Canis lupus familiaris: one gene and its partners. The protein of the gene in region 1 purifies or fractionates together with the protein of each later gene. This does not show direct contact. Links are inferred from orthologs where the notes say so. Each region holds a gene or a part of one and is shown in the gene's direction. Other genes may lie near its edges.

The links. The genes of interacting proteins can lie anywhere in the genome.
Region 2: the proteins of SGF29 (region 1) and TAF9 purify together in Homo sapiens (affinity purification with mass spectrometry; 3 studies listed by BioGRID and IntAct, with this or other methods). This does not show direct contact. The link is inferred for Canis lupus familiaris from reciprocal best matches to the Homo sapiens genes SGF29 and TAF9.
Region 3: the proteins of SGF29 (region 1) and ATXN7L3 purify together in Homo sapiens (affinity purification with mass spectrometry; 8 studies listed by BioGRID and IntAct, counting the BioPlex papers as one, with this or other methods). This does not show direct contact. The link is inferred for Canis lupus familiaris from reciprocal best matches to the Homo sapiens genes SGF29 and ATXN7L3.

Annotation. Positions count from the first base shown.
Region 1 is NC_049227.1:18,372,769-18,376,517, reverse strand, and holds the start of SGF29 (SAGA-associated factor 29), read left to right. Parts: upstream 1-955; 5' UTR 956-1,142; exon of another isoform or gene 1,143-1,207; intron 1,208-1,372; exon of another isoform or gene 1,373-1,426; intron 1,427-1,432; exon of another isoform or gene 1,433-1,567; intron 1,568-3,749. UniProt on the Homo sapiens protein: Chromatin reader component of some histone acetyltransferase (HAT) SAGA-type complexes like the TFTC-HAT, ATAC or STAGA complexes.
Region 2 is NC_049257.1:19,523,813-19,526,889, reverse strand, and holds TAF9 (transcription initiation factor TFIID subunit 9), read left to right. Parts: upstream 1-1,436; 5' UTR 1,437-1,564; coding exon 1,565-2,362; 3' UTR 2,363-2,501; downstream 2,502-3,077. UniProt on the Homo sapiens protein: The TFIID basal transcription factor complex plays a major role in the initiation of RNA polymerase II (Pol II)-dependent transcription.
Region 3 is NC_049230.1:19,072,967-19,076,631, forward strand, and holds the start of ATXN7L3 (ataxin-7-like protein 3), read left to right. Parts: upstream 1-789; 5' UTR 790-975; intron 976-1,462; exon of another isoform or gene 1,463-1,914; intron 1,915-2,338; 5' UTR 2,339-2,398; coding exon 2,399-2,449; intron 2,450-2,742; coding exon 2,743-2,875; intron 2,876-3,080; coding exon 3,081-3,252; intron 3,253-3,431; coding exon 3,432-3,529; intron 3,530-3,665. UniProt on the Homo sapiens protein: Component of the transcription regulatory histone acetylation (HAT) complex SAGA, a multiprotein complex that activates transcription by remodeling chromatin and mediating histone acetylation and deubiquitination.

The DNA of each region.
Region 1 (3,749 bases):
CCTAGCAGTTTAGCGCCGCATTTGGCCTGGGATGTGACCCTGGAGACCCCGAATCGAGTCCCATGTCGGGCTCCCTGCATGGAGCCTGCTTCTCCCTCTGCCTGTGTCTCTGCCTCTCTGTGTGTCTGCTGTCATGAATAAATAAATAAAATCTTTTTTAAAAAATAAACGATATAAAATGTAATTTTAAACTTTGATAGGGGTTATGTAAGAAATTATAAGACATTTACTAGAATGTAAACTAATGTAGTTTAATGTTTACTCACGTCCTTAATACGGTCCTGAGAAGATTCCCTCAAAGTGCAATTTTTGGGTCTACAGATCTGTTTTTTTTTTTTTTTTAAGATTTTATTTATTTATTCATGACAGTCACACAGAGAGAGACACAGACAGAGGGAGAAGCAGGCTCCATGCAGGGAGCCCGACGTGGGACTCAATCCCGGGTCTCCAGGATCGCGCCCCGGGCCAAAGGCAGGTGCCAAACCGCTGCGCCTCCCAGGGATCCGATCTGCTTTATTTTTAAAAAACTAAACATACACCTAACTCTGAGAAATGAACAAGGGGTAGTGGAAGGGGAAGTGGGCGGGGGGTTGGGGTGATTGGGTGATGGGCACTGAGGGGGGCACTTGGCGGGATGAGCACTGGGTGTTATGCTATATGTTGGCAAATTGAACTTCAATTAAAAAAAAAACAACTAAAAAAAAAAACTAAAAAAACCATAGAGCTAAAAAATAAAATAAAAAAAACTAAAATAATAAACTACATCTTTTGGGGCAGCTTGAGGTTTAAAAATTTTTTTAAATTATCTTATAGGCTTTGGGGAATGAGAGAGGATACTAAAAACACACAAGGACTCTGGTTTCTTAAGTTCCCTTAGGGCATCGGGCATAGACTGATAAAATAAAAACTACATTTCCCAAGGAGCAGCGCGACACGTCACAAAGGAAGGACGGCGCATGCGCGGAAAGGTTCGCGCTGCGACTAGCTCGTAAAAGGGAAAAAGCGTGTGTAGTTCTCGACGTGCCGCGAATCTTCGAACGCAAGCGCGTTACGGTACTCAGACTTTGAAAAACATTCGAGGGACGCGCCCGCGGCTGCCGTCGTAATTTCCAGCTCGACGTGCCTATTCCGTGGCTTGGCAGGTGGGGATGGGTCGCAGTCTGGGGCCCCCGGGGAATGGCGGGAGCGGAGGGCCGGGGTCGCCCTCGGTACGTCCCCATTCCCGGGCCTCGCTGGGGCAACTCTCGGGGGGCGGTGCGCACGCGCCCTGGGCGGGGAGAGGCGGGGCTCGGGGAGGGGTGGGGCTGCGGCGGCGGTCTTTGGGCTCTGCGCATGCGCTGGCCGGCGCGGCGTGGAGGGGAAGCGGGCGTTCGCCGTGCGGGGCGCAGAAGCCGCAGAGGCGGCGGAGGCGGGGTCTTCAGCTCAGGTGCGAGAAGACGGCAGCGGGGTTGAGCCCCTTCTAACGAGACAACTTCATTCGCCCTCCGGAGATTTCCAGTTGCCTCCTCATCTCTCGGCGCCCGTTTGCAGCGTGAGGCTTCAGCCTTAGCTGGCGCCTCATCTCCAGGTCTCTTTCGAACCCGCTCTAGTCTAGGCCCCCAGCGCTCCACTAAAATAGCACTTGGTGGAAACCGCCAGTGACCTCTCGGTCGCCAAAGCTAGTGTTCAGTTCGTTCTCACCTCTGTAGCAATGGCTGATGCGCTTCATCACTGCCCTTTCTTGAAGCACTTCTTCGTTTGATTTGTAGGACATTCTCTTCAATTTTTTTTAAAGGTTTTATTTATTTATTCATGAGAATACACAGAGACGAGAGAGAGAGAGGCAGAGACACAGGCATAGGGAGAAGCAGGCTCCACGCAGGGAGCCCGATGTGGGACTCGATCCCCGGACTCCAGGATCACGCCCTGGGCTGAAGGCGGCGCTAAACCGCTGAGCCACCCGGGCTGCCCAATTTTTTTTTTTTTTTTTAATATTTTATGTATTCATGAGAAACACAGAGAGAGGCAGAGACCTAGGCAGAGGGAGAAGCAGGCTCCCTCCCTGCGGGAAGCCTGATGTGGGACTGGATCGCAGGACTCTGGGATCACGACCTGAGCCGAAGGCAGACACTGAGCCACCCAGGCCTCTTAAACATTCTCTTCTTTAGCTTCAGCTCTCTGGTTTCTCCTCTGCTGATTTCTTGTTCCTCGTCCCTATCTTTAATGGTTATACTCCCCCGCCCACGCCCTCATCCTAAGCTCTTCTTTGTGTCCACTTCCTAGGAGCTATCCATTTCAAAACTATTTTCTTTTTAAAAATATTTTCTTTATTTATTCTTGAGTGCTAGAGAGAGAGAGGTAGAGACAGGCAGAGTCTTGTAGGCTTCCTGCAAGGAGCCGGAGGCAGGACTCGGTTCTGGATCCCGGGATCATGCCATGAGCCGAAGACAGACGGTCAACCGCTGAGCCACCCAGGCGTCCCTATTTCAAGGCCTTAAATAGAAATACTATCTATTGTGCTCTCAAATGTCAATCTTCGACCCAGTGCTCTACCTCCAAGACCAGATTTTTATATTCAGCTTGCAAATGACATCTCAAAGTGTCGAGTCGGCATCTCAAACATGTCCAGAACTGAAATTTTGAGTTTTACCCCTCACATACCTTCACCACTTTCCCCAGTCTTCCCATTTTTCCAGTTGTTCAGGCCAACTCAGGCCAAATACTGATATATTCTTGGTGTTTTTTTGCAGCCTGGCCCTGCCCCCCCCCTTTTCCTTCTCCAGTGTATTAGTGTGTATGTGCCCTTAAGGCTTTGAAGTTTCACTACTGAGTGTTCTGTGGATATTCTCTTTGGCACTTGGTCATTTTTGCCTGAGAATTTGTGTTTTCCGTTCTTCAACATTACCTGTCATCGTTTATTCAAATTTATCCATGTATCCTGTTTTCTATGTCCTTTATAAGGTATTTACTTCACCTACAAATAAGTATATGGAACTACTTGTTTAATGTCTGTTCCTTTCTGGACTGTGAGTTTTGTAAGCAAGACAGGGACTCTTTGTCTCATTCACTGATGTATATTTCTCATTCCTAGCATAGAGTAGGTATTTGACAACTATTCATGAGTGCATTTATACAGGGAAGTATCTATAATATCAACTAATTGGGGTACCTGGGTGGCTCAGGTGGTTAAGCATCTGACTTTTGATCTCAACTCAGGTCTTAATCTTGCAGTCATAAGTTTGGGCCCTACATTGGGCATAGAGCTTACTTTTTAACCTGCCCCCCCCCAAAAAAAAAGGGGACAATTTTTTTTTTCCTGGGGTTGGAGGGAAGATAGTGAATAGCCCAACTTAAGAATTGTTGAGAGACTATTTTAAGAGATTTCCAGGATTCAGTTTGGTTCAGTAATGTATTCTGAAGACTTAGTAGGTGCTAGGCCCTGGGCTAGTTTCTGGGAATATAAAGACGAATACAACTGCATGTCAGTCTTCTAAGAGCTCGTGGTCTGCAGGAGAGATAAGTAAGTGAAACAGTCTCTCAATGTATGTGTGACAATGCAAGAACAGAAGTTTGTATACCATGCTTTGAAAGTTTTGACTGCCCTTGGCATCAGGGCAGATGAGTGGGGCCTGGGGCAGCCAGATCCCCCTGCCATTCTTTTCCAGCTGTGAGCAGCTTTGCCTTTTACCTGAGTGTGCCACACAAATGTTACCAGAAATATTTTGTACTGTGTGTGCTGTGGTGTGAGAAGGTTGGCAAGTACAACTCTT
Region 2 (3,077 bases), on another chromosome or scaffold:
CATTTTGTTTATCCATTCCTTTAGTTAATGGGCAATTGAGTTGTTTCCACTTTGAGCTACTGTGAGTAATGCTGCTATAAGCATTTGTGTACACATTTCTGCGTGTACCTATGCTTTCATTCTTTAGTGTATATACCTAGGAATGGAATTGCTAGATCATAGGGCTACATCACAGAAATATAGGTCACAGAAATATAAATTCCTGCCCAAGAGAGTTAAGATACATGTAAGTCTCTTAATATGTATCTCCAAGTTGCTTTTCAAAAAGCTTTGAATTAAGTTTTAACTCTATGATTGAAGATCTTACTGTTATTCATGGTCGGTTCTCAGGAGTAATGATGTCCCAAAATAACAGCCTAGGACAGTGTTGTCCAATAAAAATATCATACAACTCATTAGGTAATTTAAAATCTTCTAGTAGACACATTTTTTAAAAAAGTAATAAACAGGGGAGTGTGGGTGGTGTAGTCCGTTAAGCATCTATCTGACTCTTGATTTCAGCTCAGGTCATGATCTCAGAGACATGAAATTGAACCTCACCTCGGGTTCTGTGCTGAGCACCAAGTCTGCTTGGGTTTCTCTCTGCCTCTCCTTCTGCCTCTCCCCTTGCACACTCGCGTGCTCTCTCTCTTTCTCTCTCAAATAAGTCTTTAAAAAAGTAATAAGTGAAATTAATTTTAATAATATATTTTATTGAACTCAATATATCCAAAATATATCTTTTCAAACTATATATTTAAAAATTATTGCTAAGGTTTTTTTTCTTCTTTATTCACATTCAGTTTCTGAAATCTAACATGTGTTTTACACTTTACATCTCCATTTGTTTTTGTTTCTGGTTTGTTTTTGTTTTGTTTTGTTTTGAGATTGTATTTATTCATGAGAGACACAGAGAGGCAGAGACGCAGACTCCCCACAAGGAGCCAGATGCAGGATTCAATCCTGGAACCAGGGATCATGCCCTGAGACAAAGGCAGATGCTCAGCCTCTGAGCCACCCAGGTGTCCCTCACATCTCCATTTGAACTAGGCACATTTCCAGTGCTCAGTAGCCAAGTGTGGCTTAGTGGCTACTGTATGGAATAGCACAGGTCTAGGAATTTGGCTATCTTCTTTGGAAGGTGGCAGGCGGTTACTTTTAAAAACATATCCTCATTTATGTCCCTTTGTTACCTTACTCTTTTTAATAAAAATGAAGCAGAAACAAAATTTAACTGACTAAAAAAGCCTCCTAGATAAGAGAATGGCTTACTAAATACTGTTTTACTGCTTCATATTTCTACCTGTTGAGTAACAATGTATAATGGGTGAAAAAAAAGACAACTTTAAAAGATACACTCCTTTATTCCAGCTTACTTGAACAGATCCTGGGGCTAGTTTTGTTTCTAGAATCTACATTATGTTACTGAATGCTAAACACCAGTGCAATGTTGCTCCCGAACATCCTGCTCACCGGTACCCCGGGGGTTGGAAAAACCACACTAGGCAAAGAACTTGCATCGAGATCAGGATTGAAATACATTAATGTGGGTGATTTAGCTCAAGAAGTCTGATCAACAGATATCATGGAGTCTGGCAAGATGGCTTCTCCCAAGAGCATGCCGAAAGATGCACAGATGATGGCACAAATCCTGAAGGATATGGGGATTACAGAATATGAACCAAGAGTTATAAATCAGATGTTGGAGTTTGCGTTCCGATATGTGACCACAATCCTAGATGATGCAAAAATTTATTCAAGCCATGCTAAGAAGGCTACTGTTGATGCAGACGATGTGCGGCTTGCCATTCAGTGTCGTGCTGATCAGTCTTTTACCTCTCCTCCCCCAAGAGATTTTTTATTGGATATTGCAAGGCAAAGAAATCAAACTCCTTTGCCGTTAATCAAGCCATATTCAGGCCCCAGGCTGCCACCTGATAGATATTGCTTGACGGCTCCAAACTATAGACTTAAGTCTTTACAAAAAAAGGCATCAACTTCTGCGGGAAGAATAACAGTTCCACGGTTAAGTGTTGGTTCTGTTACTAGCCGACCAAGTACTCCCACTCTTGGTACACCAACCCCACAAACCATGTCAGTGTCAACTAAAGTAGGGACTCCCATGTCCCTCACAGGGCAGAGGTTTACAGTACAGATGCCCACATCACAGTCCCCAACTGTAAAAGCATCAATTCCTGCCACATCCGCAGTTCAGAATGTTCTGATTAATCCATCATTAATTGGGTCCAAAAACATTCTTATCACTACAAACATGGTGTCATCACAAAATACTTCCAATGAATCATCAAATGCATTGAAAAGAAAACGAGAAGATGATGATGATGACGATGATGATGACGATGATGACTATGATAATTTGTAATCTAGCCTTGATGCTGTAACCTGTAAACTTGGTCTTAAATCCATTGTACTGAGATTAAACGTGCATGCTGGGTATTTTGAAGTTGTGTTGTAGAAAACTTAAATGGTATTTAATGAGTAAATATAGTTATCCTTTCCTATTGAATGTTGGGTTTTCTTTAATAGGATTAGTAATGGTTATTCATTAGCCTTTAAGTGTGAAAAATAAAATTGTTGTTCATCAAAAAAAAAAACAAAAAACACCAGTGCAAACATTCTCTTAAATTAATAAAAATTTCTTTTGTTGAGTCTTTAATGATGAAATGAACAGGAAAGAAGAAAAGCAAGAAATAGATTTGACTGTGCTATACTGATGAAAACCATGTTTTTCAATTTATTCTCACAATAAAAAGTATTTGATCTGAAATCCTATATAATCCCAGGATGCAACAATCCTTCTCTGTTGTATGGCAACTTCCTGCCATGCATAATTATTTTCCAAAAGCGTATCAGGTCAGAAATGAAGCAGAGAATGGGGGAAAGAGTCCATAGTGATCTTAGGCAGATTTTATTTTACTAGTAGGAATCAGTTGGATAGTTATTACCACCTGGCACTGCTAATGAGTCTAGTTGGGAAAACAAAGCAGCAAAGCATTCCACAGCAGACTGCACCGTGGTCCAGTTCTGGGGAGTCTTTTGGGGTCTGTTGAGCATCTGAAGATACATTTGAAGGTGTT
Region 3 (3,665 bases), on another chromosome or scaffold:
GGAGGTGTGTGTGTGGGGGAAGAGCCGGGAGCCCCGAGGGAAGGGCGGGGGATCCTGGGCCGGAAGGCGTCCCAGGCTCGGCTGGAGCCGGCGCTCTCTTTCGACGCCACCCGCTGCCCCCGCCCCGGAGCCGGCCGGGACGGCACAACGTCTCCGCCCCCAGCGCACCGCGCACCTCACCTTGAACGGCGCTCCACCCACCACCATCCTATTGGGCCGGCCGGACCGAGGCGAGACGGCGATTGGCCGAGGTGCCCGCCGAAGGCCCCGCCCATCTCCCCGCCCCCGTCCCCGTCCGCCGGTACTTTGGACGGCGGCGTGGCGCCCCTCCTCCCCGCCCGGTCCCCGCCCCCTGGAGCAAATGCTGCCGAGCTGCGGCCGCGGGGCAGATGCACGCGCTCGGGCCCTTCTAGCAGGCGCGAGCAGTCGCTGGGCGCGCGAAAGCGAAAGAAGGAAGAGGAAGGGAGGGCGGGGGCGGGGTGTTGAAGAGGGGCGGGAGGAGGAAGAGGAGGAGGTTGGAGCGCGCTCGCGCTTGGCCTCGCGCCCGCGCGGAGGGAGGGGGAGAGGGGCGCGCGCGCGCACGCTCGCGTTCTCGCTCGCTCCATCCATCCATCCTCCGGTCGCGGCACGCGCGCGCGCTCCGGGCTCGCGCCGCACCCCCCGCCCGGGAGAGGCGGGCTGGAGTGGGGGGCGGGGGGAGGGGCGCGCGGACGGCGCGCGGACTGCGCGCGGGCGGGGTGAGGTGAGGAGGAGGAGGCGGCGACGGGACGAGAAGGGAGGGGAAGGGGCCATGGCCGCCCGGTGAGGCGGCGAGGCGGGGGGGCGGCCCGACCCCCCGGCCCCGGGCCCTGGGCCCCGGGGAGAGGCGAGGACGGACCGACGGACATGGGGCTCCGGAGCAGCCGCCGCCGCCGCCGCCGCCGGAGGACGCGGCCCTGAGAGGCCGCCGGGCCCCGGCGCGGCCCCCCGGGCGGGGTGAGTACGGGACGGAGACGGGGACGGGGGAGGGGCCTGCGGGGGGCGGGGGGCGGGGCCCGAGGCGGGGCTTGGGCCCCCTCCCCCCAGGTCTGGGTCAGCGCCCCTTCCCCTCCCCCCGGGCCGACGCGGAAACGCCCGGCTTCCCCCGGCTTCCCGGCCCGGCCGGGGCCCCCAGCTCTCCCCCTGTCTGGGTCCCCCCTGGGCGGGGCAGGGCCGGCCGGGGAGGGGGCGCGGGGCCTTTGTTAGGGAGCCAGGCCCCAGCCCCCGGGACAATAGAGACACCCTCCCGGACTCCTCTCCCCGGCCGGCTGGGGCTGTCGGCGGGGGGGAAGGAGAGGGGCCGGGACGCGTCCCACTCTGCCCACTCTCTAGGGGTCGGTCTGTCCCGGACCGGCGCCGGCCTCGGGCGGCTCGGCTCTCCTCCCCCCAGTCGGTATGATGCAGCAGCAGTGCCGCAGGGACGGGGGAAGAGCCGAGGCCCGGCCTCCTACCCTCCCCGGTGCCCCTGGCTCATTTGTCAGTCCCCACCCCACTCTAGGCCGGCAGCTCCTTAAACTCGTACCCACCGTTAAGAGGGGCCCCGGACTGTGGGCGCTGTTTCAGAATCCTTTGGTGGGGATTCCTGGACTTTGGGGCTCTTGGAGAGACTTCCGGGCTGGTCCTGAGGGAGGGAGGGTGGTTATCTAAAAAGAAGAACAGGTAAGGGGAGTGCCCACTCCCGGCATGCCATCCCCACCGGGCTCTACCCCTCCTTCCTGCTCATGATGGCTAGAAATGCTCCTTCAGCTCTAGGCTTCTGTGGGCTCTGTGCCCCTTCTGTAGTCACAGGCTTATTTCAAGGGAAGACACAGTGGGGTGAAGGTTGTAGGGCTCTAGGGCTGTTCCTACTTCTGGTAGCAGTACCCCCCCAAGTGGACATCCTGGCTGAAAGCAGAGGTGACTCTGAGGAGAGCCTAGGGAAGGGGGGGGGGGGTATTTAGGAGTCTGTGCAGTTCTTTGCCACACCCTGTGGGTTTGCTTTGAGGCCTTAGAGTTCCTTCTCCTCCCCCTGCTGCATTGCACCATGGGTATGGAAGAGGGGTTTGAGTTTGGGGGACCTGGGGTGAGCTGCTGCCTCCTATGGACTCAGACTTGGACTGGTAGCAGAGTCCAGGGCCTGAGTTCAGTCCTGGGAAGGACTAGGCCGCCTTTGGGTTTCAGGCCCTGAAGGACCATCCAGACTTAGTGAGCCTAGGCCTTGGGGAAGGGTAGATCCTGATGCCAGCATTAAGCTCTGGGCAGTGGGGTGCAGAGGGGAGGTGGCAGTCTCCAGAGGTGTCTTGGACTCACACCAACATCCCCCCCACCCCCATGTGTGCAGCCGTGTTGCCGCCCGCTGTGCTATGAGCAGTCAGAGCGCCGTCTCCACAAGAGTTTACAAATGAAAATGGAGGAAATGTCTTTGTCTGGCCTGGATAACAGCAAACTAGAGGTGAGGGCTCCCCCACGTGTGCCTCTAGTTCTTTCTCTTGATGTCTCTACGTCGCTATATCTGGCGTTCACACCAAAGAGGAATTTGGGTAGTCAGCCTGGTTCCTTAAAGGGAATAGCCAGCTGAAAAGGCCCAAGGCTCCGGAAGAAGAAAGGATGCGAAGTCAAGATGGGGAAAATGGCAAAGAAAGCATTATTTTTGGCCAGGGCGAGTTGGCAGATTTGGTTGGTGAGAGTTGCTCTCAGTCCAGGGGGCCAAGACTCCTGACCGTGGATGTTCTCCCCTGGGCCCAGGCCATCGCTCAGGAGATATACGCGGACCTGGTCGAGGATTCTTGTTTGGGATTCTGCTTTGAGGTACACCGGGCTGTCAAGTGTGGCTACTTCTTCCTGGACGACACGGACCCTGATAGCATGAAGGATTTTGGTGAGCTTCAGGGTTGAAGGAGAGCCATCCGGCCCCTGTCCCGGGGATACTTGCAAGTTCCTCCTCTGGAAACTGCACCAGACGTAGTACCTGGGGCTCCTGTGAGCCCAGGCAGGGGGTTTCAAGAGGCCATGGGGCCATGGGCGGGAGACAAGAGGTGAGGGTCCCCTGCCTGCCCTGATCGCCACGCCTCTCCTGTCCCCAGAGATCGTGGACCAGCCGGGGTTGGACATCTTTGGACAGGTTTTCAACCAGTGGAAGAGCAAGGAGTGTGTCTGCCCCAATTGCAGCCGTAGTATTGCTGCCTCTCGCTTCGCTCCCCATCTGGAGAAGTGCCTGGGAATGGGCCGGAACAGCAGCCGCATCGCCAACCGCCGGTGAGGGCGTCTCTCTCCGCTAGAACCAGAGATGCTGGTCCCACCTCTTGTAACTTGTGGCATGGTGTAGTCCCCCAGGGGCATTGGTGGGGCACAGAGGGTGGCTCGTGCTTGGCCTCTGTGGTTGGGGGCAGAGAGAGGTGGCTGTCTTGACCCTTTCTCTTCCCTTCCGTTGGTAGGATTGCCAATAGCAACAATATGAACAAGTCAGAGAGTGACCAAGAGGATAATGATGACATCAATGACAACGACTGGTCCTATGGCTCAGAGAAGAAAGGTGTTTGGGGATTTGGGGAAACTGGCTGGGGGGACAGGGGGATGCAGCCCATCAGGGTGAGGCAGACAAGCAAGAATTGGGTATGTAAGGGTCACAGGTCGTTATATTGAATGAGAAGGGGAGAATGTAGCTTTGT